Linked DNA regions of Tamandua tetradactyla. The protein of the gene in region 3 binds, or shares a complex with, the protein of the main gene of each other region. Links are inferred from orthologs where the notes say so. Each region holds a gene or a part of one and is shown on either strand. Other genes may lie near its edges.

Region 1 (7,437 bases), on a different chromosome or scaffold from region 3:
TTCAGACTGATCTAAGAAAAGAACGCTTTCCTATGCCAGCTTTCTCTCAAACTAGCAAACTGCTCCTAAAACCAACATCAAGATTAATGGGATTTCTATAACCTAAAGTGGCTGTAGAATTCAACCTTAACAAAGTGGTATATTTGTTGTGTGACAGACTATTATATATGCAGTAAAATGACATGTGCAAAGATTTTATAGTAATATTATAAGTATTTTCCTATGTTCAGTTTAAAGCATATTACAAGAGATACATAAGATTTTAATTTTTTTTAAAAGATCTATGCAGAATGAATTATTTTTCTCCCTTCTTATAACTCTTCCACAATTTCCCCAATCTTTTAAAATAAATATTTATTCTTTTTTAAAATATAAGAATTATGAATTTTCCATATTAAACTCTGGCCAATAATTAACTTTTTCTTTGGATTAATCCTTACTATTTATTCACTTCATCTACTTCTACAAGATTTCAGATGTTACCCAATTACTCGTATGCTAGCAAGCACTTCTGATTTCAACCCCCAAAGAAGCCCTATTGATTCATTCCACTCACTTTAGTGGGATAGACAGAACTGGATGGAAAGGCCACCAGGGTAGTGAGGTCAGAATAACGCCGTTCTATAGTCTTCTTGGTAGCAGGACAGTAGTGGACACTGCGGACCACTTTGGGACGAACTAGAGAGCCTAGGAAGAGAAACATGCATTTAAAATCATCCAATTAGACAATGATAGAGATGTAATATGAACACAGGCAAGCCTACAATGACTACAAATACTGGGTTCTGACTAGTTTAAGTTTTTTCGATACTACCTATCATATACTCATTTTCGCATTTATATCTAGAACATCACCATATCTATGTAAAATGTTAAGTACAACTGATTCCACCCTAATCACTATGCGCACTCTGAACTCCTCCAAATTTCACCCATAATCTCAATCATTCACCTTTCTGAAGCCACAAGCTACCCAGTTTTACTTTGCCTTTTTTGGCTTTTCCAGCCCTGTGAAGTATAGCATTCCCTCAGTCCCCACTTTAACCCACTCACATTTAGTGACAATGCCCTCTACACAGACAACACAGCTGAGGAAGCAGGAGGTGAGAGTACGGGGAGAGACATGCTTAGAGCCAAAGCTTCCCTCCAATCCTATGTAGAATTCCTCATACTGCTTGGCATAGGTAGCATCAATGGAGGCCACAAAATCCTTTAAGGCCCGCTGGAAGGCAACCAGCTCCTCAAAGGCATTGCTCAGGAGGCTGCATATGGGCAAAAAAAAGAGTAATTAGGCAGAGAGGACAGAACTCCAAAAAGGTGACCCTGGAAAAGGAATTGGACATTCTTGGACCATCAAGACCAAGTCAAGACCAAGGAGTGGAAATCCAGTTCTTACTTTCTCTTGTCATCCTACAAGACTCAGTATAATAACATTAGAACTAAGGGTCATGTTTGTTTCAACTTGTCAAAGATGTAGAAATGATACCTAGTTAAACATTGGAAGGAGATGCACATGAGAGGAAAATAGTTACCACCTACATTTGAAAGAAGAAACAACAACAATATAGGAGCAGGTGAGGCTATGAGGGCTCCTAAGTCAATCACTTTTCATCTGGGTCCTCTCCTGGGAAGGGAGACATGTTCAGACATGGGGAAGAGGGTTATCTTCCTGCGATTCCCCTGCCACTTACCGATTAGCCCTCTTCTCATTTTTCCTACGCAGGTCATTCACATTAACAATCAGCCGGTAGTGGTTGTCACTGATCAGCTCCCGAACTTTGCCCTGATAAACTCCCTGGTCTTCCTGCAAAATAGTCACCACACATCAGCACAACCACAAATGTAAAAATAAGATATTTTAAAACAAAGGTAGTTGTCATAGCGAGATAAGCAAGTCAATTTCTGAGGCAGTGCTGAACCCCAGTATCCATTCATCAATTTCTCCCATTTTCATTCCTGGCCTCAGATTCCAAAAATGCCTATTTGCAACACTATAGGAATTATAACAATTTTCTCAAGGATAACGGTCCATGCTATTATTCCTAATATCAACAACAACTTATTAAATATTTCTGTATGCTTTAGTGGGGAATTAAAATGAGCTCAAACGAAGACTAAAAGAATAAATAAAAACCTTATTAAAATGTAAAGTAAATGAACTTTTAATATATATTAAAATGCCTTTTTATCTAAAAATTACGTATATAATCAAAGTATTTCATTTCCCAATCTTGTATGTAATAATATAGAATTCTCATATCTGGACCTAAAGGAAGGCCTGAAGAAGGTGACATTTGTTTACAGATAAAGCATCAACCTTTCAACATTCTATAGTTTTACATCTTGGGTGGCATACAAAACCCCCTAATCTTCATGTTACTGGGAACTGAAAAAGAATGCGGCCAAATTAGAAAGGTCTTTTCCTCCCAGTGGTAAGACGTTGACGAACACCATGGATTCTCACCTATATTCCCTCTCCCACCCTGTCCCCCAAAAAGAGCAGGACGTAATTTCGAAAAGGCCAGGGGGACGCTGACATTTTGTTTGCACTTGAAGGAAGCCTGTCGCCATTTGCGAGACCTGACTATTACTTGTATTGGGGAGAAAGTTACCAGACGGCTCTCTAAAGATTCAACTAGAGAGAGGCAATTAGCAACTGATTTCACAGCGAGGAGTTACACGTTCGGGCGGAAGGCTCCTCAGCCGGCCGTCGGCAAAGCGAGTCAGCCAGTCAGAGTAGGGAGAACTGACCGGCCTCTCGCTGCCGGGCTCTGTCGCTGCTTCGGAAAGAGCGGCATCCCGCGCGACCATTCAGCCCGCCCGCCGTCCCCGGGGGTCCGAACACCAGGGCCTCGAGCGCCCGCACCTCCCTCACCTTCCTCACCTCATCATCCAAGAAGTCCAGGTAATCTCTCTGCGCCTCCCGCAGCTCCACATCGTCAAGCACGACAGTCCCGGCCATGCTCGCTGCCTCGGAATCGCCTACCCTAGAGCCGCGTGTAGGACCCTTGGTAGACTCCGCGGCGGCACGAAAACTTCCGAGCTTTTCCCGCCACCAAAGAGTACCTCGAGGAAGGGGCGGAGACTCTGGGTGAAATACGCACTCTAATTAGCTGCTTCCTCGTAAACCGGAACACCGAATATCCAATCGGCAGCTTTTCTTCTCCCGGCTTTCCACGCAGCGCCTCGCGGTGGCGGGAAATACGCCATCCGGGACTCTCTATATTTCTCCCCTCCCCGCCCCGCTTCCCCGCCGGGAGAGCTGGCCAATGGGATGAAGAGAGAGCCCACGGAGCCTAGTAATTGGGCAGCCGGAGAGGCGGGGTGCGCTGCATTCTGGGAGTCGTAGTTTTATCTTTCCGGATGTTCAGGAGGTTCTTTGCAGGCTGCGGTACCTTGGCTTGCCGCAGAGTGATCCAATGTAACCATGGATTTGGTCTACTCTGTGGGTCTTTCGTTGAGAATAGCCAGAAAACGGGCGGTTAAAATGCAGGAGGGTGAAAAACATAAAAGCAAATCCTTTTAAAAATGTATACAAATTAAGTATGCTAGATATGTTTCAGATGCAACATCCCTCAAGTAGTATCTGGGGCGGGAGGCGGGAAGCAGTGTGTTTTTAAGAATCTGTGAAATGGAAAATAGAATCATAGCATCTCAGAGAAATGTTATTTAGTTTATACCTGTTTTTGATCAGATTACCGATACCTGAAGTACCCCATAATCATGCTAGGCCGTCAAGAAGGGTGGAGTTGAAGAAAAACTTTCTGTATATCCTCCAGCTCCCAAGCAAAAACCTCATGTCTTATTCAACAAAATTTTGGACATAATTACTCAGTCATCTTACTTGTGAAAGGATAAATTAGAGGATAAAATTAGTAAATCACAAAAGGCTTTTTCACTTTATGAAAGATCACAAGATTCTTTTAAGTAGCTTAATTTAACAGGTAAACAAATACAAGGAGAAACAAAAACCAAGTATTTCAAGCCACTGTTAAATATCAATGGGTGATTAAGAATACCAAATCTGAGGGTAAAATTATTATAACAATTGAATGTCAAAGTTTTTTTGTTTTGTTTTGTTTTTGTTGTTCTCTCTTGTGGTTTGGTTAATTTTATTTTTCAGATATAATTTATATACAGTAGAATACACAGATCTTAAGTTTACAGCTCAATAAATGTTTACACAATGTACGTATGTATGTAACTATGACCCAGTTCACTATAAACAACATTTCCATTTCCGTTGCGCCAAAAAGTTCACAGGAAAATAAAATAACAGATTGCCCAATATAAGACACCTGGCAATTCTACAGTTAAAATTTCAACCAACTGGTTTTTAACTTACCTTTGAAAATCTCCAGGATGGTGAGCAGGTAACCACATGAACCTGAATCAAAAAAAAAAAAAAAAAAAGCCATGCCTGGCTGCTTGCTTTTTGCATCCAACAGCTTAACAGGCAAGAAGAAAAAAAAAATTTCTACAATGAGGATCTTGTTTACCATTATCTAGTAAAAGGTCATTATTATTTAAAATGTCTTTATGACTTATTCATAATTGTCATTTTATGAATATATTGAAGGCAATACAATGTTCTTCGCTCTGGAAACACAGCTTCAAAATTAACACCAGAAGAACCAAGAACCAGTCTAGTTCAAAGAAGCAAAAATATCAACTCGTTAGTGGTGGAAAGCCCAAAGGAATTGGATTCTAGAGAATAAATCTTTGATACTAAACACATTTTTCTTGAGAAGGGGGCCAAGATGGCGGCTTACCAAGGTGTGGGATTTAGTTCGTCCTCCAGAGCAGCTAATAAATAGCCAGGAACAGTACAGAACAACTGCTGGGGCCACGTCAGTGACCGGACACACAGTGTACCCCAGTCTGGACCAGCTGGACCGGCTGTGAGCACTCCAGAACCGAGAGTTCCCCAGGCCACCCAGAACCGTAAGTTCCCCAAACCGCAGTGGCTGGCGCCCCTCCCCCACATGCTACTTCCCAGAGGGGAAAGGAAAGGGACTTTGTGAGCACCAGGGGCTGAGCACAACCAAATTCCAATTGTGGAATTAATTCACAAATTCTGACTACTAAAAATAGGCCCCCAGCTCAGTTGAACCTTGAGTAAAAGCAGAGGTTGCTGGTTTTTGCCCCCGCTCAGAGGGGGCAGGGCTGACAGAAAAAGAGAAAAAAAGAATAGCTGTTTTTGGATTTGAAAGGTCTGGGCCCTGAAGGAAAGGAGGGGGCATATGGGACCTGGAGATACACAGAGCAACGTGCCAACTTAAGCTCTTGATTGGCAAACCCTAGGAATGGGGATCTTGCTCTGAAAAGGAATTTTCTCTTCCATTTTGGTGGCTGTGTGTCTATGGTTTGACTGCTCTTTGGATACAGCTGCAAGGCTTCTTGGGCTCCACTGCCCCAAGCAGAGGCAGAATTAAGCTGGTTTGAGTGTTTGTCTGGAGCCTGTACCTTCCCCAAGAGAGGGGTGGGGCCCAGCTCAGATGGAATCCCTCCCTCAAGGAATTCAGACCCCAGGGTCTGGAAAACTGAAGCGATTAAAACCGGTCTACAACCTCTCCTCTGTCTCCACCACGCCCCCAGCAGGGAGAGTCTGCTGAAGTTAAAGATACCGCAACACCTTATTCTGGTGGGACCCATAGGCAGACAAGCGCCATGTACTGGGCAGGATAGGAAAATCAGAGAGCCCAGAGACTTCATAGGAAAACCTTTCAATCTGCTGGGTCTCACCCTCAGGAAAAACTGATGAAGATGACTCTTTCCTCCTGACAGGAGGTCAGTTTGGTCTGGGAAAATCTGGCTGGGCTCTATAATACCTAAGTAGACCATAGTAAGGGGAGAAAAAAAGGCACCATACAGGCAGGGCAAGAAACAAGAGAATAAGAACTGAAAAATTCTGACAACAAAACCTAAGCTAGAGGTCCAGAATAAGCTGAACTGAATGTCAAAGAACAGATAGACAACAAAGTCATCCAGCAAGAAAATCCTAGGTAAAAAAAAAGTGAAAACAATCTCCAGAATAAATTAATTAAGGTAATTAAATGCCTAGATGCCAGCAAAAAATAACGAATCATGCTAGGAAAATTGAAGATATGGCCCAGTCAAAGAAACAAACCAACAATTCAAATGAGATACAGGAGTTGAAACAATTCAGAATGTTCAAACAGACATGGAAAACCTCATCAAAAATCAAATCAGTGAATTGAGAGAGGATATAAAGAAGGCAAGGAATGAACAAAAGGAAGAAATCGAAAATCTGGAAAAAATAAATCACAGAATTTACGGGAATGAAAGATACAGTAAGAGATAAACAAAAGCAATGGAAATCTACAATGTCAGATTTCAAGAGGCAGAAGATAGGATTAGTGAACTGGAAGATGGGACATCTAAAAATCCAACAAGCAAAAGAAAATATAGGGGAAAGAATGGAAAAATATGAGCAGGGACTCAGAGAATTGAATGACAACATGAAGCATGTGAATATATGTGTTGTGGATGTCCCAGAAGGAAAAGAGAAGGGAAAAAGAAGAGAAAAACTAATGGAGGAAATTATCACTGAAAATTTCCCAACTCTTATGAAAGACTTAAAAGTACAGATCCAAGAAGTGCAGCATACCCAAAACAGAATAGATCCAAATAGACATACTCCAAGATACTTACTAATCAAGATGTCAGATGTCAAAAAGAAAGAATCTTGAAAGCAGCAAGAGAAAAGCAATTCATTACATGCAAGGGAAACCCAATAAGGCTATGTGTAGATTTGACAGCAGTAGCCATGGAGGCAAGAAGACAGTGGGATGATACATTTAAATTACAAAAAGAGAAAAACTGCCAACCAACAATTCTATATCCAGTAAAATTGTCCTTCAAAAATGAGGGAGAAATTGAAACATTTTCAGACAAAAAATCACTGAGAGAATTTGTGACCAAGAGACCAGCTCTGCAAGAAATACTAAAGGGGGCACTAGAGACAGATATGAAAACAGAAAAGAAAGAGGTGTGGAGAAGAGTGTAGAAAGGAAGACTATGAGTAAAGGTAAGAAGAAGGAAAATTAGATATAACATATAAAATCCAAAAAGCAAAATGGTAGAAGAAAGTACTGCCCTTACAGTAATAACACTAAATGTTAATGGATTAAACTCCCCAATCAAAAGACAAAGACTGGCAGAATGTATTAAAAAATAGGACCCATCTATATGATGTCTACAGGAAATGCATCTTAGACATAAGCATAGGATAAGCATAGGTTGAAAGTGAAAGGTCGGGAAAAGATATTTAATGCAAATAACAATCAGAAAAGAGCAGGAGTACCTATACTAATATCCAACAAATTAGACTTCAAATGTAAAACAGTTAAAGAGACAAAGAAGGACACTATGTATTAATAAAAGGAAAAATTCAACAAGAAGACATAACAATCA
Region 2 (7,871 bases), on a different chromosome or scaffold from region 3:
CCTATCGCCACCAACCTCCTGCACAAGAAGAGCCAGGCCTTCCTCCCACAGCGAGGATGAGCTGCATCCTTCCATTCCCCGGACACTAAGGACCGTTGGGCTAGTCCCCAGAGTTCAGCATTTCTGAGCACGGTAAGCTGGTTCTGACAACTAGCTACCCGAGGAGGAGCGTTCCTGATCGAAAAACGAAGGGACTGAGAGGGCTCTACGCGTCAAGCCGGCGAAGTAGCCAAGGGGAAGTCAGGTGGACCCCGCGCTCTAGGGTCCTCCCCAGGGATACCTCAGTCCTCCCTTGTCGGGGGCGGGGGGGTGTCGAGACTTCACGGCCGCTCCAGTCCCTCGGAAAGAACGCCGGTCCAGCAACCCTCCTCCCAGCCCAAGGGCTCCCAAGGGCTCACCTGGGAAAGGTTACGGGGTGGGGGGGATTACGAGTGCGGGGTGGGGGACGGGTGCAAAGGTCGAGAGGTACTGCAGGAGACCGGTAAAGCCCCTACTGGCAAGTAACTGGGGAGGGTGGGCTCGGTGAAGGAAGGAGGTCCGGAGAAGGCTGTGGAAAGAGGTCAATAGGGTGAGGTGGGGAAGCAGGGGGGGAGCGCTCCCGCGGGCAGATAACTGGAGAGGGGCGGGGGGTTCGAGTCCTAGCGGGCCGCCCTGCCTGCCAGGTGAGGGGGAGAAGGTCCGGAGATGGGTGTGGAGACGTGACTCAGGTAAAGTGAGGAGGCAGGTGGGTTGCGGTCCAGCGGGCAGGTAAGTGGAGAAGGGCGGGGGCTCGAGGGCCGCCCGCGGGCCGCCTCACCTGCCCAGCGCGCGCTTCATGCCCGCGTCGGCGGCGCCGCGCGGCTCCGCGGGCCCCGCTCCCGCCAGGCGCAGGTTCTGCTTCAGGCAGTAGTCGGCGTCCAGCGCCGCAGCGGCCGAGCCGGAGGACGCCGAGCCCGCGGCGGAGCAGCGCTCATGCTCCAAGGTGACAGGCTCGGTCCGCTTCCTCATCCCGCGACCGAAAGCCCGAGCCACCCAGGGCGCCCCCCGGCCCCACCGCCAGCTCCAGCCGCCACCGCCGCTCTGAGCCGCCGGCCTCACAGCCCAGCTCCAGGCCGTGGCGCCGGGATATGGGCTCCGCTGGAACCCGGCCCTCGCGCCGGCCAATCAGCGCCGGGCTCCCGCCGGCCCCGCCCTCTTCCCGCCCCCGGGCGGCGGGGAGAGCTTAGCAGCCCAGCGCCGACCCGCAGCCATCTTGGGGAAGGGCGGGCAAAGCCGCGGGCGCGCGTCACCGGCAGGGCGGGGCTGCGCCGTGGGTCCGCTGCCCTGCACCTGGCCTCAGGTCCAGCTAGGAGTCCCCGCAGAGCCCGAAGCCTGCTTCCCTAGCTACCACTTCAGCCCTGTGCCGGGTCCCCCAACATCGGGAACCAAATCTGAACACCACCCCCCACTCCCCCCGAAAGGTTAATAAATGTTAATGAGAACAGCAAATAGGTAGCTAGGTAGATAGAATGATATGGCAAAGGTGACAAGAGGTTAAAATTGGTAGAGCTGGGTTTTGGCGTGGGGGGTGTGTTGAAGCTCTCTGAGGTTTGTTTTATTTTTGCTACTGTCCTGTAAGTTTGACACTATTTCAAAATAAGTTTTTCTTCGTTTGTTTTTTACACGTTTACAAGAATAAAAAGAAAAGAGTAACAAACCACAGGGTTCCAATCATTGGCCACTTTTCTCACAGGACTTGATTTTTTAAATGTATGCTCCTTGTTAAATTTTTAAATTTGAAACATAAAGGTACAGATATTTCTTTTTTACTTTGGAGCTGAACATGCAGAAAATGAACAGTGTAAACGAATTACTTTTTAGAAATCAGTATTCGATTTTGGATTTTTATAAAGCAATTAGAACTAGCTGATGGGGTGGAGTTCAAAAATAAATTTCCACTTATGAAATCCAATTAACTACTAATTCAACCATCCTAGAAAAGAAGAAATAAGGGCAGTTTCATAAATTTAGTCTTATAGTTTTGGCTTTCTTTAGCACTGTATAGTTCATTGTGCATTATGACCCACAATCGAGAGATATATTTCTTTGTTTATTCCAAAGTAACTTTTCCAATTTTGACCTTTTTGTAAGTTTGAAAACTATTGGCATCTGGCATCTGGTAATTTAAGATCAATCAGAAATGCTTTTAGAAATAGCTTCTTACATTAGGTTTGCAATGATGCTGTGAAATTAGAAAAGAATTTCATTAACCATTTTAATAAATACCACAACCAGCATTCTTATTTGTGTGGATAGCTCCAAATACATTTTTTTAAAAAAAATTATGGACTCTAAATGGTGAATTCTTTAAAGTGATGTGGAATCACATACTGATTGGGAATTAAAATGTAAAAAATATTTGACCCTATCACTCATAAAGTCTCTTAAATTGAAAGACAAAAAAGCAAGGAGGGAGAAATGTAAGGGGAATTTAGTCTTTCTTGGTCCACACTTGCTGCCTGTGTTTTAAGCACTCAGGCTTTAAATGCCACCCCACACTGGTGACACCTACATTTATATCTCTAGATCACACCTCTTTCCTGAACTCCATGCTTCCTTATACAATGGTCTACTCATTTCTATTCTGATGTCCTTCAGGCACCTAAATTTACTACTCAGTTGAAAACTGGGATCCCCAATTCCACAACTTTCCCCACCTTGGATGGGCAGCTTCACCCTTGCAGTTCATCAGGCCAAAGCACCAGGGTCATCCTTGATGCCTCTTTTCCTAGGCCACAGGTTTTCTATCAGCAAGACTAGACAGCACTCCCTTCAAAGTGTATAGCAGACCCAAAGCTTTCTCACTACCTCCACCATCACCACCCTGGGCCAAGCTGTCATCACTTAACCTTTCATCTGGATTATTTTAATAGCTTCTCTGCCTCCGTGTTTGCCCTGTTTCGCCAATTCAGACACACAAACATCTTTTTTTAAAAAACCTTTTTTTAAACCTAGATCAGATCCTGTCACTTGTTTGCTCAAAACCCTTCAATAGCTCCCCATCTCACTCAAAATAAAACCAAAAGAAGTAGCCTACTGGGCCCTATCTGTTCTGGCCTCCAGCCCCTCCCTTATCTAAGCCACCAGTCTCCCCTCTTGGCCTACTTCAGCACTTGGCTTCCTGCTGTTCCTTGCACATCCCTCCTCAGGGCCTTTGCACTTGGATTGCTCCATATTGCTTCCTGCTGTTCCTCGCACATCCCTCCACAGGGCCTTTGCACTTGCATTGCTCCATATCTACATGGGTTACTCTCTACAGCCCTCGGGTCTTCTCCCAACACTTAGACTCAAAACCCTCAGACCCTCACACCATCACTGTTTACCTCCCTGGCTTATTATTATTCACACTTGTCATCAATATATATCATCAATAAATACTGGGCAAGGGCTTTGTTCACTGCTTTCAGTGTCTAGAAAAAATGGCACTTCCTAAATATTGGCTGAAGGAATGACTTAGTCATTAGAATCCCCCAAGGAGGGGGTTCTATCCCCATTTTACAAATAAGGAAGCAAGTCTTGGGGAAGTTCAGGGACTTTGCCTAAAGGCACAAATTAAGAAATTTATGGCAGAGGAGGAACGTGGAAAGTGGTGTTCGGACCACAGTCCTGCATTACATCCATGGTAGAATGTGGATGATAACACTTGGCTAAAGTATTCCTTACTGTAGGGCTGAGAAGGAAAAGCCAGTCCACATAAGGATAAAATTCAGAGGATTTGTCTTTAATCTGGCCATTTTTCAGTCGTATATCAAGTGTCTATAGTTGCAAAAGAGCAGTGGAATTTCTAGGGTTGGCTAGAAGTAATACTGCTTTTAAAAAAAAAAGCAGCGTAGTTAGTATACATTGTTTCTATAGCAGTGATTCCCTGTTGATTCTACATGGTTAAGAAACTTTCCATAGGTCATCTAGAAGAGAAAATGCTTTGTGGATTCGTGTAATTCTAGGGCACTTTTTCTCCCTCTAGAGACCTTGTGACAAGGACTGATTTACAAACAACTTTACTTGATTGCTTAAAAATAAAAAAAGTGCTACTGTTTTTATTTGGTTTGATAGTGGAAAGCTTAAAGTCAGTGTGACCCTGGGCAAGTTACCTAACTACTCTGCTTCTTAATAGCCTTAATAATCACCTTTAGGGATAATTATGAGAAATAAACTAAATAAATTTCAGTTCGTCGCACACATGAGGTTCTCAATGAAAGCTGGTTTCCCTTGACTATCAAACAAAAAACTCATGCTGTAAAAGTACACAAATGAAACGCTGCGTCACAGTATTAATGCAAGTTCTGAACCTTTCTTCTTCGTCCCAAAGGTCTAAACCTAAATGAAAATGAATGAGTCAAACGGCAAAAGGCGGAAAAGGGAAGGATGCGCGTTCCTCCAGCCCGAGCCGTGCTGCGAGAAGTTCTGTCTTTCCGAGCTCGTGGCGACCCGGAGCTTGCAGCGTAGAGGCCTCACCCCTCCCAGTGCACTGTCCTTTGGGGGCTGGCCCGCCAGCTCTGCTCCTCTTCAAGTGCAGATGCGCGGCGGAGGTAAATGTCCCTCTTCGGCCACCGTAGCCCGCGGACTAGCAGTGCTTTTCCATTGGTTGGTGTGTTTGGCGCCAAAAGGAGAAACGGAGTGGGAAGCCAGGGGCATAAGCTGAGGGAGAGATTGCAGCGCAGCGGTCGAGAGTCCGACGACTGTCTGGCGTGAGAGCGTTGTTGAAGAGGCTGGGGTGCGTCCGCCATGTTCTGCGAAAAAGCCATGGAGCTGGTCCGCGAGCTGTACCGGGCGTCCGAAGGGCAGTTGCCAGCGTTCAACGTGAGCTGGGCGGCCGGGAGGAGGTGACGGGGAGGGACGGGGAGGGGGCGGGGCTGAGGCAGAGGGGCGGGGCGGCTTCCTCGGGGTCCTCTCCTGCGTCTCCCTTACGAATTTTACTTTACCCCTGTACTAGCTCCAAAGTCGGGAAGAGAAATTTGGGACAAAGCAGGAAAAAACGCGGGAGGGAAAAAAAAAACATTCATGCTTATACTTCCAGCGATGTGATGAATCTGTCATATGAACATATTTCCTTTAGTGTTTTTCTAAGCTTAGCTGTATTGTCTGATAGTCTAGCATTTTTCCGGAATCGGACTGCGAAGTGTGGTGATTAAAAGCTAGGCCTCTGGATTAGGCTGGGATTTTTGGTTCCGTTGTGTGGTTTAGGCACTGTTACTCAAGCTTTCTGTGCTCGAAGTTTTCTTAGCACAGAAATAGGATGATGAGGATAATCCTAGCGCCCAGCCCCCGGGGAGGGAGGATTCGCAGTTTGTGTGTGATGCGCTCTGAACAATGCTTGGCAAACGGTAGGGGCCGTTTGCTACTAATTTTATTTCTATTTCTACTCCTGCTATTAGGATTATTCTTACTTCTCTGTTAACTACTACTGTGTGCCTCACAGGGAGTTAAGCACTCGACTTCTGTTATCCTTATTCTCATGATAAACCTTTGAGATATAAACTGTTGTTTTTTTTTTTCTCCAGGTATATAAAAGGAGGCTTGGGGAGTTGAAGTAACTTGCACTGGTGAGGTAGCCAGGAAGGAGTAAACTTAGGATTTGAACCCTGGCAGCCTGGCTCCAGAGCCTAATTCTGAATCCTATGCTAGACTGTTTCCACTGTCTTAGCACAGTGACCTGTAGATGCCAGGGCACATTCTACTGAGAGAGGGATATGAAAACAGGTAAACAATGCGGTGTGGTAAGTGATAACTTCGAGGTGTAGACAAGGAGCACAAAGGAGAAATGCCAGTGTGAGGTGAGGTCCAGGAGGGGCATTGGAGTCATGTCTGGAAGGATGAGTTCACCACTCCCAGCCAAAGGGCACTGTAGTGCAAAGACACATGATCACAGCTAGGAAAGGTGCCTGAGAGAGGGTATGTGGGGGACAACACAGGTTAGCTCAGAGGAGTCCAGTCATATGCACAGAGTAAGGAGTAGAGGGTTTTAGGCAGGGCTGTGATGGGGTCATTTTTGTGTTTTGAAGTAACTATAGCTGCAGTGTGAAGAGTGGATTGGAAAGAAAGAATAAAGGCAGAGCAATGGATTAGTAGGCTGTTATAGTATACCAGGTGGAAAACATGCATGGTGTGAACTGTGTCAGGGCCATGAGCACTAGAGTGGGTTATGGAGACTTGGAACAAATAGGATTTGTAACTCTTAGGATGAGGTAGAGATGGGGTGGGTGATGCATGGGCAGGGAAATCAGGGAGGTTTCTTTTAGCATACAAGGCCATCAGTCAACATAGGTAGAGATCATGAGAAAGAGTGTTTGGGAAAGGTGATGAATTTAAGTTTGAACGTTAAAGATCACCTACTGTGACAAGTCATTTTACGGATGAGAAGACTGAGCCAAGAGAAATTATGAATTCAGGGATGTGTCTATTCTTCCAGCATATTGGAGGCAGTCTCAATTTGAATACTGGATTCTGTTCTTTCAACTTCAGAAGAGCTACATAATTTAAAAAGTTAGGTGAGGGTGGTACAGTGGTGGCTCAGCAGCAGAATTCTCGCCTGCCATGCCAAAGACCCAGGTTCAATTCCCAGTGTCTGCCCATGTAAAAAAAAAAAAATGTTAGGTGACATCAGGGGAAAGTTCAGAAGAGAGGTGTGCTGGGTATGGGAGCTCTAAGATATGGCTCCACAATGGGGTCAAAGATCTAGGATCCTGGGAGGAAACAGGCCAAGGGGACAGAGTGACTTGTCCAAACAGGCAGTGGCCAACCTGGCTTTGGACCCGGCCCTGGAGACCTTGAGCCCAGCATCTTTTCACTCCAAAAGCATTTTAAGATGTCTGTTGGTTTACCACTAAGACCTTGGGGGCCAAGGTCTTAGGAACTGTGAAAGCAGTCCTTTTAGATGTTACTGGGAATGCCTTTTGTATCCTTTGTCTTGTTAGTGCCTTCCTGGACAACCTACCTGGTAGTCAGTGTGACTCAGCAGATCCAGGATTGACCTGAGGGCCAACAAGGGTTTCAGGAATCCTGGCCCCAAGGAAGTGATAGCTGGGAGGGCTCCTCTGCCTTGTTCATTCCAGGATTGCACAGGGTGAGGGCTGTGTTCAGCAAGTTAAAACCATTATCCTCTTTCTATGTCCAGAACTGTGGTGATTGAGTTTCTAGGAAAATGATCTTGGGCACCCAGGGGCAGCACAGAACAGATGTAATTCCCACTAAAGATAAAAATTCAAACCTGAAAGTGTTTGTATTTTATGAAATTATTTCTCACTTGGATTTTATATACCTGCAGATCTCTTAATTGTACAAGAATTTTCAATTTCAAGTAGTACTTGCTGTATTAAGGAGAATGTTTAACTGAAAACAGATAAATCAGACTTTTTCATAATTTTTTCTTTACCAGCTGATGAAAGTGAAGGTGGAAGCATGCTTATATTTTCCACAAAGAATTGTCTTTTTTTGTATTTGAGCAAGGTTTATATAGTTGGTTTTGTAATTATATCAGTAATACCAAAGCATTTTTGGCTAACACAGGTATTTTGGCTCTAAAAGTAAATTAGGAAAAATAGACAGGTTACTTTTCTTTGGATTGTTGACAAACCTATTATATAACATTTATGAATTTTAGGATGCTTATGCTTTATCCTTCTAAGGTAAATGTAAAAAAAGAAATTGCCCCAAGGTAAATATTAGGAAAACCTTTGTTCTGTTCTTGCAGTGCAAACCAATACACTGTGCCTTTTAAGACCATCTTTTTAGTAAATAATAAATTATTTACATATTTTTGTCATACCTGATTGCTTCTGCAGGACTATTGATTTTTGATTAGCTATATAAATCAAAGATAAATGTAATATAGACAGAATATTCCACAGAATTGG
Region 3 (7,989 bases):
TTGAATAGGGATTAGAAGAAATGGCTGCCTTTACAAAATGGGATTAGGATTAAAAAATGGCTTTTCTAGGGTATATACATCCTTTCAAACTGGCACAGATATGAATTGTATTCTAAGGGTTGCCCCCACAGGGAAATACTATTTCAATAAACTTTAGTCTAAAATAGGATGACCCATTCCATTAGTTATATGAAATTCTCAAAATAGTGTCCATGTAATACTTTTAAAGACACTAAAATTAATAAAGGTGGAAAAATAAATTTTGTTACAGGGTACATTCTTGAGCAAGGCTACACTTTCGTGCTTGAAAAAATTCAAAACTTTTCCTATGACTACATTTTAGAAAAGAGCATTACCCTAAGCTGTAAGCATTTAGAAATACTGAGTTTGGTCAGGTTTATCTTTGGAACTAAGGACAATTCTCCAAAATAAAGTGTATGGACTCTAATAAGCATGAAGACATGCCGGCACTTAGACAAATGAGCCTTTTACGGCCATGACGTAAAGGCAAATGAATTTCTTGATGGAAATGTCACATTTCTCTTTGACCCCAATCCAGAAACTTAGAAAAGATTATTTTACTCAATCTGCTAACTATGTTGGCAACAGTATATCGATGATAAAATAAAAGAGAGAGAAAATTCATGATCATTGTATATTCTGCAAGGAGCAAATGACAGTATAGTTTTTTGTATTGCTTCCTCACAGGGTGTCACGTTAGCTGTCTTGGGACTTATTCATTCTTTTAGCAAACTATGATCAATGTCACCTCCTCAGGGAAAGCTGCCCCAAACATCTTTAGAACCATATTCTAAAATGTCCCCATCCTCAACATTCTCTATCATTTACTGGATTTGTTTTTCTACATCGCGTTTTACCTCCATTTGACAAACAATTGTTATTTGTTTATTGTCTGTCTTCCATCCCAGGGTGTGTGTTTCCCATTCACTGCTTTATCCTTAGCTCCAACACAATGTCTGGCAAAGCAGATCCTCAAAAGCATTTGTTGAATGAAGAAATGAATGAATGAATGAATGAAAGAATGATGAGCACTCCGCAAGTTTGGGGGTTACCTTCAGGGAATTCACAGTCTAATGTGAGAAAGACATGTTAAAATTGCAATAGAGCATAATAAATGTTTTATCAGAATCTTATAAGGTATAATGGTGACCAAAGGTGGGGGAAGATGTGTTAGGGATGGTTTTCGGAGGAAGAGATACTTTAAATGGGTCTTAAAGGATGAATAAGAGTGCACTGGGTAGATAAATGGAAAGAAAAAAATTCAGAAGGAGGAAACAACAGGTATAAAGAAAGGAGGCAAAATACCTCATATCTTTAAGTAGTTCAACATGACTGAAGCAAAGAGAATGCAAGGGAAAAAAAGAGAGAGAGAGTGCAAGGATGGAAGTCCCAAACTAAAAGAAAATTAACAGCACTAACTTCTCAGCAAGAGGACTAAAACCATACCAGCACCTCAGTATCCTCCCTACTTCTCGCAAGAATATTGTGCCAATGTGAAACTATTTTGTATCCAAGTTCCAATACTGATCCAATCTTGTGGGGCCAGACCTACCGTTTACGGTATGATCTGTTGCTTTGATTACTTCCATAGACATGTGACACACCCAATTGTGGGTGTAGCTTTTTGACTAGATGGAGATGTGACTCCACCCATTCAAGCTGGGTCTTGATTAGTTTACGAGAGCCCTTTAAAAGGGGAAACATTTTGGAGAAAGCTCAGATACAGATGCTTGGAGAAGAGGTGCTTCAGAGCTGACAGAAACACGGATGTTTGGAGATCCTTGGAGTGCCGACAGCGAGAGCAGATGCTGAGACATGGGCAGAGCCCAGCAGATGTCATCATGTGCCTTCAAGAGGTGCCAAGCAAGCCAGAACCTAGAAAGAGTCACGGGAAGCCAAAAGATGAAACCTAGCCCCAGAGAAGCCAAGTGAGGAAACCCACAGGAACAGTCGGAAAGCAAAAGAGCCCAGGAGCAAGGCATCAGCAGATGTCAGCACGTGACTTCCCAGCTCACAGCTGTTCTGGACAGCATTAGCCTTTCTCGAGTGAAGGTAACCGCTTGTTGATGCCTTAATTTGGATATTTTCATTGCCTTAGAATTGTAAACTTGTAACATAATAAATTCTCTTTATTTCTTTTCTGGTATATTGCATTCTGGCAGCTTTCACAAACCAATACAAATATGTACTCTATCCTCCAGCAGAATTCTTTGGAACTAATCAGAATTAAAGAAGCAGAGGCCAGACTCTAGCTCCCTAATAGAAGAGCAGGAGGAGATTAGAAAAGTCAGGTTAGCACTAGAGAAGGAAGTCCCTAAATCAGTAAACTATTGGTACTTCCGTGTAGAAGTTATCTGTGCCAGAGTAAATATGAGAATACTTGGCCTCAAATCTATAACACTTAAAGAATATTAATAAAAAAACACTGAATAACTATGTGGTAATGATAATTATGGAAGAATGGAATTGTGCACAGTAATCTAATGCTGCAAAACAAACCACCCCAACATTTAATGCAAATATTTGTTTTTACTCACAAATCAGTAGTCTGGGCAGGGTTCGGCAGGGACAGCTCATCTCTGCTTCTCTCCATGTTAGCCCTGGTAGCTCTAGGTCTGAGAACCATCTGAAAGCTCATTCACTGAGACAACCGGGGAATGGAAACACTGGGGCTGCTGAGCTCTTCTCTGTCTCGCTGTGGCCTCTCTACATGCTCTTTCCAGCATGGGAGCTTCAGGGTAGCCAGACTTCTCACATGTCAGCTCACGGCTCTCAAGGGACATGGTTCAAGAAAAGGAGAGCAGGGTGGAAGTTGTATCACCCTTATGAGAGTGCCTTAGTACTCAAGCAGTATCACTCCTGCCACATTCTCTTGGTCAAGGCAATTACAAAGGTCTTCCCAGATATAAGAGGAAAAAAAGATGGACTTCACCTTCTAATGGAGGAGTGTCAACATCACATTGTAAGAGGACCACATGGGATGAGATATATCTTAGGGCAGCTCTCTATGGAAAATGCAATCTGACACAACTAAAACGTGCTGGATTACCAAAGTAGAGTTTAAACGAACCTTGAAAAGTCTATTTGTCATTAACAAAACTCGTTCTTCAAGATGTGGCCCAAATACCCCTTTCTTTTGGGAATTTCCCTTGGTAAATATGCCCACTCTTTCACTTGGAATATTCTATGTAATTATTGTTTATAAAAGGACTGTAATCAGGTGGGTTCTAGCAACCTGTCAATTGGTCAACTTTTTTCCCTAATAAATCAGTATGGCACATGAATCATCACAAAGAAAAGAAGCTTCAGACTGATGGGGAAGAAATATTTATAGAGAATCCAGAGTGATACTTTACACAGAAAACAAAGGAGAGCATCAGCAATTCAGAGACCAAAAAGCTGACATCTCACAAAGAAAAAATACCTATATCGATATCCTTATGTCCTTGTTGTTCCCCCTGCAGTAAGAGCAGAAATTATAAGCAGCCTAAGTCAAAATAACCTAGAGAATTAAGCAAACACCTGATGTAGTAGCAAGGCTGGAAGCAAATTGCCTAAAGCAGTGGTTCTCAAACTTCACCTGCATCATGATCACCTGAAGAGTTTGTTAAAATAGTGTGTTGTGTCCTATTCCCAGAGCTTCTGATTGAGTAGGTCTGGGTGGGCTTGAGAACTTGTATTTCTAGTAAATTCCCAGAATACGTTGTTGCTTGAAGTGTGGGAACACACTTTGGGAACCAGTAGTCTAAAGGTTTTTAGAGGAGCTGGGGTTAAGAGGGGCCAGCCTCTCCAGAACATCAACTAGTTCCATCCCCCTACCCCATATTATTGACAGCCCTTTCCAACATTTAAAAGTTAGCATGGGCACAGTCTAAATACCCCTGAAAACAGGGAGAAAGATCAAAGGTGATGGTGGAGTTATACAGAGAAGATAGGATTTAGCAAATGAGTATGACTGTGGAGTCATTATATTGATATTTCTTTTAGTTTCCAGTGTCTCGGAGTAGCTAGAAAGAAAAACCTAAAATTGTGGAACTATAAACCATACCAAACTCTGAAATCTGTTTTATATCTAATTGTGGCAGTGTGTTTTGAGATTTATTGCTTTTTTGTACATATGTTATTTTTCACACACACACAAAATTTTTCTCATAAAAAAAAAAGGAGAGGGCAGTGCGACAGTGGCTCAGTGGCAGAATTCTCACCTGCCATGCCGGAGACGCGGGCTCGATTCCCGGCGCCTGCCCATGCCAAAAAAAAAAAAAAAAAAAAGAAGAAGAACTGGGATTAATGGTCGTAGCTGAAGCCCTACAAGAGAGGTCAGTGGAAAAGATGAAACAAGAGGCTATGGCCTAAAACTAGCACAACACACTTCTCCATCGGACCCACTGCTGGTCCAAGGTATATGCAGACGCTTGCTCCCTGGTGGCCCGAAGGCAGACAGCGCCGCATCTCGGAAGAGCGGTGGCAAGGCGCCCCCTCCCGACAGCCCTCGTACTGTACCGCAGGAACCGCACACGGAACAGCAGCCCAGGTGGGCGGAGCTAACGCCGAACCAGCCTCCCATCGCCCTTATTCGGAGTGGGAAGATTCTGAGAGTGAACTGCGCATACGCAAGACCCGCCCCTTTATATTGGGCGGGGTCAAGAACGCTGCCTGTCCCTTCTCCCGAACTCTGATTGGTTTAGCGCCTTCCGTACGCGGTGACGTTGTACCTGCCCGGAGTGTTTTCGAGACGTGCGCGGGAGCCGAAAACCCGGGAGAGTTGCTACGTCCCGGAAAGGCCTCGTGCGCGTTGCTCAGCTGTGGTTCCGTTCCCAGATTCTGTGTGGAAGAACCTGGGCTGCCTCCCCGCGATTTCCCGTTCTGACCGCTCGCTACTTTGGAGTGCCTATCTGCCGCCCAGTCCGCGACTGCGTGTCCGAGTGGGCCCTGAGGTACTGCGCGAGCTGCGTGCGTAGGGGGAAGTGCTGCTCTGGGTTCTCCGCAGCGAGAGGGGCGGGACGGGAGGAGTAGGCCCTCAGTTTCCCTGAGAATCCCCGCGGCTCCCCCCCCGCCGCGCACCACACAGCTTTCTCAAGCCTTTGGGGTCAGTGACTGGTCGGCGCCCCTGGGCCTGGCGAAAATCGAGCATTGATTTATTCCCCAACGATTTTAAGTACTTGCCATGAACTAAACTCCGTACCTGCACGCGTTGTTGTCTCCCACAACTTATAAGTGCCAGGCAGTGAGCACAAGCGCAGTTCATATTTGACCTGAGGTAAGCACAGCCCTTGATGACAAGGAGATCTATCGGGAAGACCAAACAAAACAATAATTATTTTATGGTGTGATAGGTGCTCAGTTCCAGGTATACACAGCGGGAACAGATACGAGGGGCTACCTCTTTGAGAAACTTATTCTCTGACCTAAGCTTTGAAGGAAGAGGCAAAGAATTGAAAAATCCAAGTCTGTGAATTCTCTAGCCACTACTGTTGAATCTCTGCAATCCCTTGTAACCCTTTCCCTTCTCCAGATACAGTTGCACTGTATGGTAAATAAATGGAAAACACATTGCGCACACAATGTGTTGGTTCGTTTATGTTCGTTAGGTTCCTGGTTTCAGTGAAAATGACAGAGGAACTGGATCTCATGGGACAGGATTCTGATGGTAGTGAGGAAGTCGTCCTAACTCCTGCAGAACTCATTGAAAGGCTGGAGCAGGTAAGCATTCCAAATAAAATCCCCTTGCTTCAATCTTAGCCTTTTTAGTTAGTCTAACTATACTAATTACAGACTTAGAAAGTAAAGAAATAGAATTCAAGACTTACTTTATTTCAGAAGAATAAAAGCTGGATCTTACCTCTACACAGAAATAGAGGAATATCCTCTATTAGAAATCCCATAATGTCAAATGCAGAGTTATCCAGTGGAGTCAGTAAGGGACAGCTTTGGGCACATTTAATAGAACAGTGCAGAGAACAAGAATGTATTTCATATTTTGGGAGGACTGCAGACATGTTGTGGTAGAGACTTGTAGGCTCCCCTATCTTAATCCTTTGAAGCATTTACTGGATTAGCAAGAAAGTGTCAAAACACCTTTTTTTAAGAAGGAAACTGGTCTTACTCTTCATTTTCATTCGAAGTATCTTCTTGAGTCAACTGTTCTCTTTATTTACACTAAATTGTCTAAAAGTCTGTTTCAATTTGCTAAAGCTGCCTGAGTGCAATATACCAGAAATGGATTGGCTTTTATAAAAGGGATTTATTAAGTTACAAGTTACAATTCTAAGGCTATGAAAATATCCAAATTAAGACACCAATAAGAGGATACCTTCACACAAGAAAGGTCAATCAAGTCTGGGATTTCTCTGTCACATGGGAAGGCACATGGCAATGTCCTTCTCTTTGGGCTTCTGGTTTCAAACAGCTCTCTCACCATCTCCCAGCATCTGTAGTTGAGCTTTCTCCAAAATGTTCTCTTAAAGGACTCTAGTAAGCTAATTAAAAACCCACCTTATGGGGGTCACATCTCCATGGAAATAATCTAACCAAAAGATCCTGCCCATAATAAGTCTGCACCCACAAGATTAGATTAAAGGAGCATGGCTTTTATGGAGTACGCAACAGTTCCAAACCAGCACAAAGTCCTAAAGTAATTTCTAGACTATCGTTTTAGTCATAATTGTGGTTTGTTGGGTACATCCTGTGTTCTTTCTAGGAATTGCATTATGTTCTTTACAATTCATCAGGCAGGCATTTTTAGAGTTCAGGGTCTGGATTTAAATACCTCTATGTCTTTGACCTATTATTTAACCTTAAACAAGTTATATAGCTTGTCTCAAGCCTTTCCTTGACTGTAAAATGGATGTAATAATAGCAGCTACTTCACGTAGTTAGGAAGATTAAATAAGATAAAGTAAATGAGATATGTAAAGTGCCTAGCTTGTTGTCTGGCTATAATAAGCACTCATTAAACGTTAGCTATTAGTAGTAATAACCCTCAAAACAACCCTGTCAGGCAGGTATTACTGTTACCCCATTTTAAAGTTGAGGAAACTAAAGCTTAGAGATGTAAAGTAACCTGCCTAAGGTCACACAGCTGGCAGCCGAGCCAAGATAGGAGCTCAGGTCTCTTTGACTCCAAAACATGGTGTTAAGCCATTATACCTATTGCCTTATTCCCTCTTTTCTTCTCCCTTTAACTGCCCTTTTCCAGAGCTCTTTCGTGTTTGTTACTTTAGTATTCTTCATTCTTTGCTGCTGTGTTAGTTTGTAAGCTACCAGAATGCAATATACCAGAAACGGGACAGCTTTTAAAAGGGGGAATTTTTTTTATTAAGTTGCAGGTTTACAGTTCTGAGGCCGTGAAAATGCTCAAATTAAGGCATCCCGAGAAAGATACCGTTCAAGTTTACAAGCTGCCAGAATGCGATATACCAGAAACAAAACAGTTTTTAAAAAGGGGAATTTATTAAGTTGCAAGTTAGCAGTTCTAAGGCAGTGGAAATGTCCAAATTAAGGCAAGTCTGTGTAAATGTCCAATCTAAGGCATCCAGAGAAAGACACCTTGGTTCAAGAATGCTGATGATGTTCAGGGTTTCTCTCTCAGTTGGAAAGGCACATGGAAAAACATGGTGACATCTGCTAACTTTCTCTCCAGGTTTTTTGTTTCATGAAGCTCCCCCAGGGGCATTTTTCTTCGTCTCCAAAAGTCTCTAGGTATGTGGGCTCTAATGCTTTTCCCAAAATGTTTCCCTCTTAAATGGCTCCAATAAGCAACCCCACCTTGAATGGGTGGGAACACAGTCCATGGAAACCATCTAATCAGAAGTTACCACCCACAGTTGGGTGGGTGATATTGCCATGGAAACGATCAAAAAGCTCCCACCTGGCAATATTGAATGAGGATTAAAGAACTTGGCTTTTCTGGGGTACACAGCAGATTCAGAGTGGCACAGATAACTTGATGATGTTCTGGGTTTTTCT

The links. Proteins that work in one complex are often made in the same cells at the same time.
Region 1: GINS4 (region 3) and MCM3 share a complex: the UniProt entries of both Homo sapiens proteins name them as parts of the CMG helicase complex. The link is inferred for Tamandua tetradactyla from reciprocal best matches to the Homo sapiens genes GINS4 and MCM3.
Region 2: the proteins of GINS4 (region 3) and GINS1 are in contact, whole or in part, in a crystal structure (PDB 2E9X), measured with the Homo sapiens proteins. The link is inferred for Tamandua tetradactyla from reciprocal best matches to the Homo sapiens genes GINS4 and GINS1. Residues at the interface, in NP_115712.1 of Homo sapiens: Met55, Glu59, Glu83, Arg84, Arg86, Tyr87, Leu89, Ser90, Leu93, Arg94, Leu97, Glu101, Phe104, Glu125, Glu126, Phe129, Glu132, Phe133, Asn136, Thr137, Tyr140, Leu141, Val144, Ala145, Leu146, His148, Met149, Pro150, Pro151, Asn152; in NP_066545.3 of Homo sapiens: Phe24, Leu29, Leu33, Met36, Tyr40, Leu69, Leu70, Arg73, Thr76, Val77, Leu80, Tyr81, Leu84, Arg88, Trp92, Glu109, Glu110, Trp113, Asn116, Tyr117, Ser120, Leu121, Tyr124, Ser127, Leu128, Gly129, Gly130, Asp131, Leu134, Ile136.

Annotation. Positions count from the first base shown.
Region 1 is NC_135331.1:110,769,732-110,777,168, forward strand, and holds the start of MCM3 (DNA replication licensing factor MCM3), read right to left. Parts: upstream 3,253-7,437; 5' UTR 2,963-3,252; coding exon 2,885-2,962; intron 1,805-2,884; coding exon 1,692-1,804; intron 1,263-1,691; coding exon 1,054-1,262; intron 688-1,053; coding exon 557-687; intron 1-556. UniProt on the Homo sapiens protein: Acts as a component of the MCM2-7 complex (MCM complex) which is the replicative helicase essential for 'once per cell cycle' DNA replication initiation and elongation in eukaryotic cells.
Region 2 is NC_135327.1:34,681,714-34,689,584, reverse strand, and holds the start of GINS1 (DNA replication complex GINS protein PSF1), read left to right. Parts: upstream 1-4,619; 5' UTR 4,620-4,743; coding exon 4,744-4,818; intron 4,819-7,871. Other genes in the region: lysophosphatidylserine lipase ABHD12, read right to left, coding at 797-987. UniProt on the Homo sapiens protein: Required for correct functioning of the GINS complex, a complex that plays an essential role in the initiation of DNA replication, and progression of DNA replication forks.
Region 3 is NC_135329.1:17,019,057-17,027,045, forward strand, and holds the start of GINS4 (DNA replication complex GINS protein SLD5), read left to right. Parts: upstream 1-4,728; 5' UTR 4,729-4,958; intron 4,959-5,612; 5' UTR 5,613-5,631; coding exon 5,632-5,724; intron 5,725-7,989. UniProt on the Homo sapiens protein: Required for correct functioning of the GINS complex, a complex that plays an essential role in the initiation of DNA replication, and progression of DNA replication forks.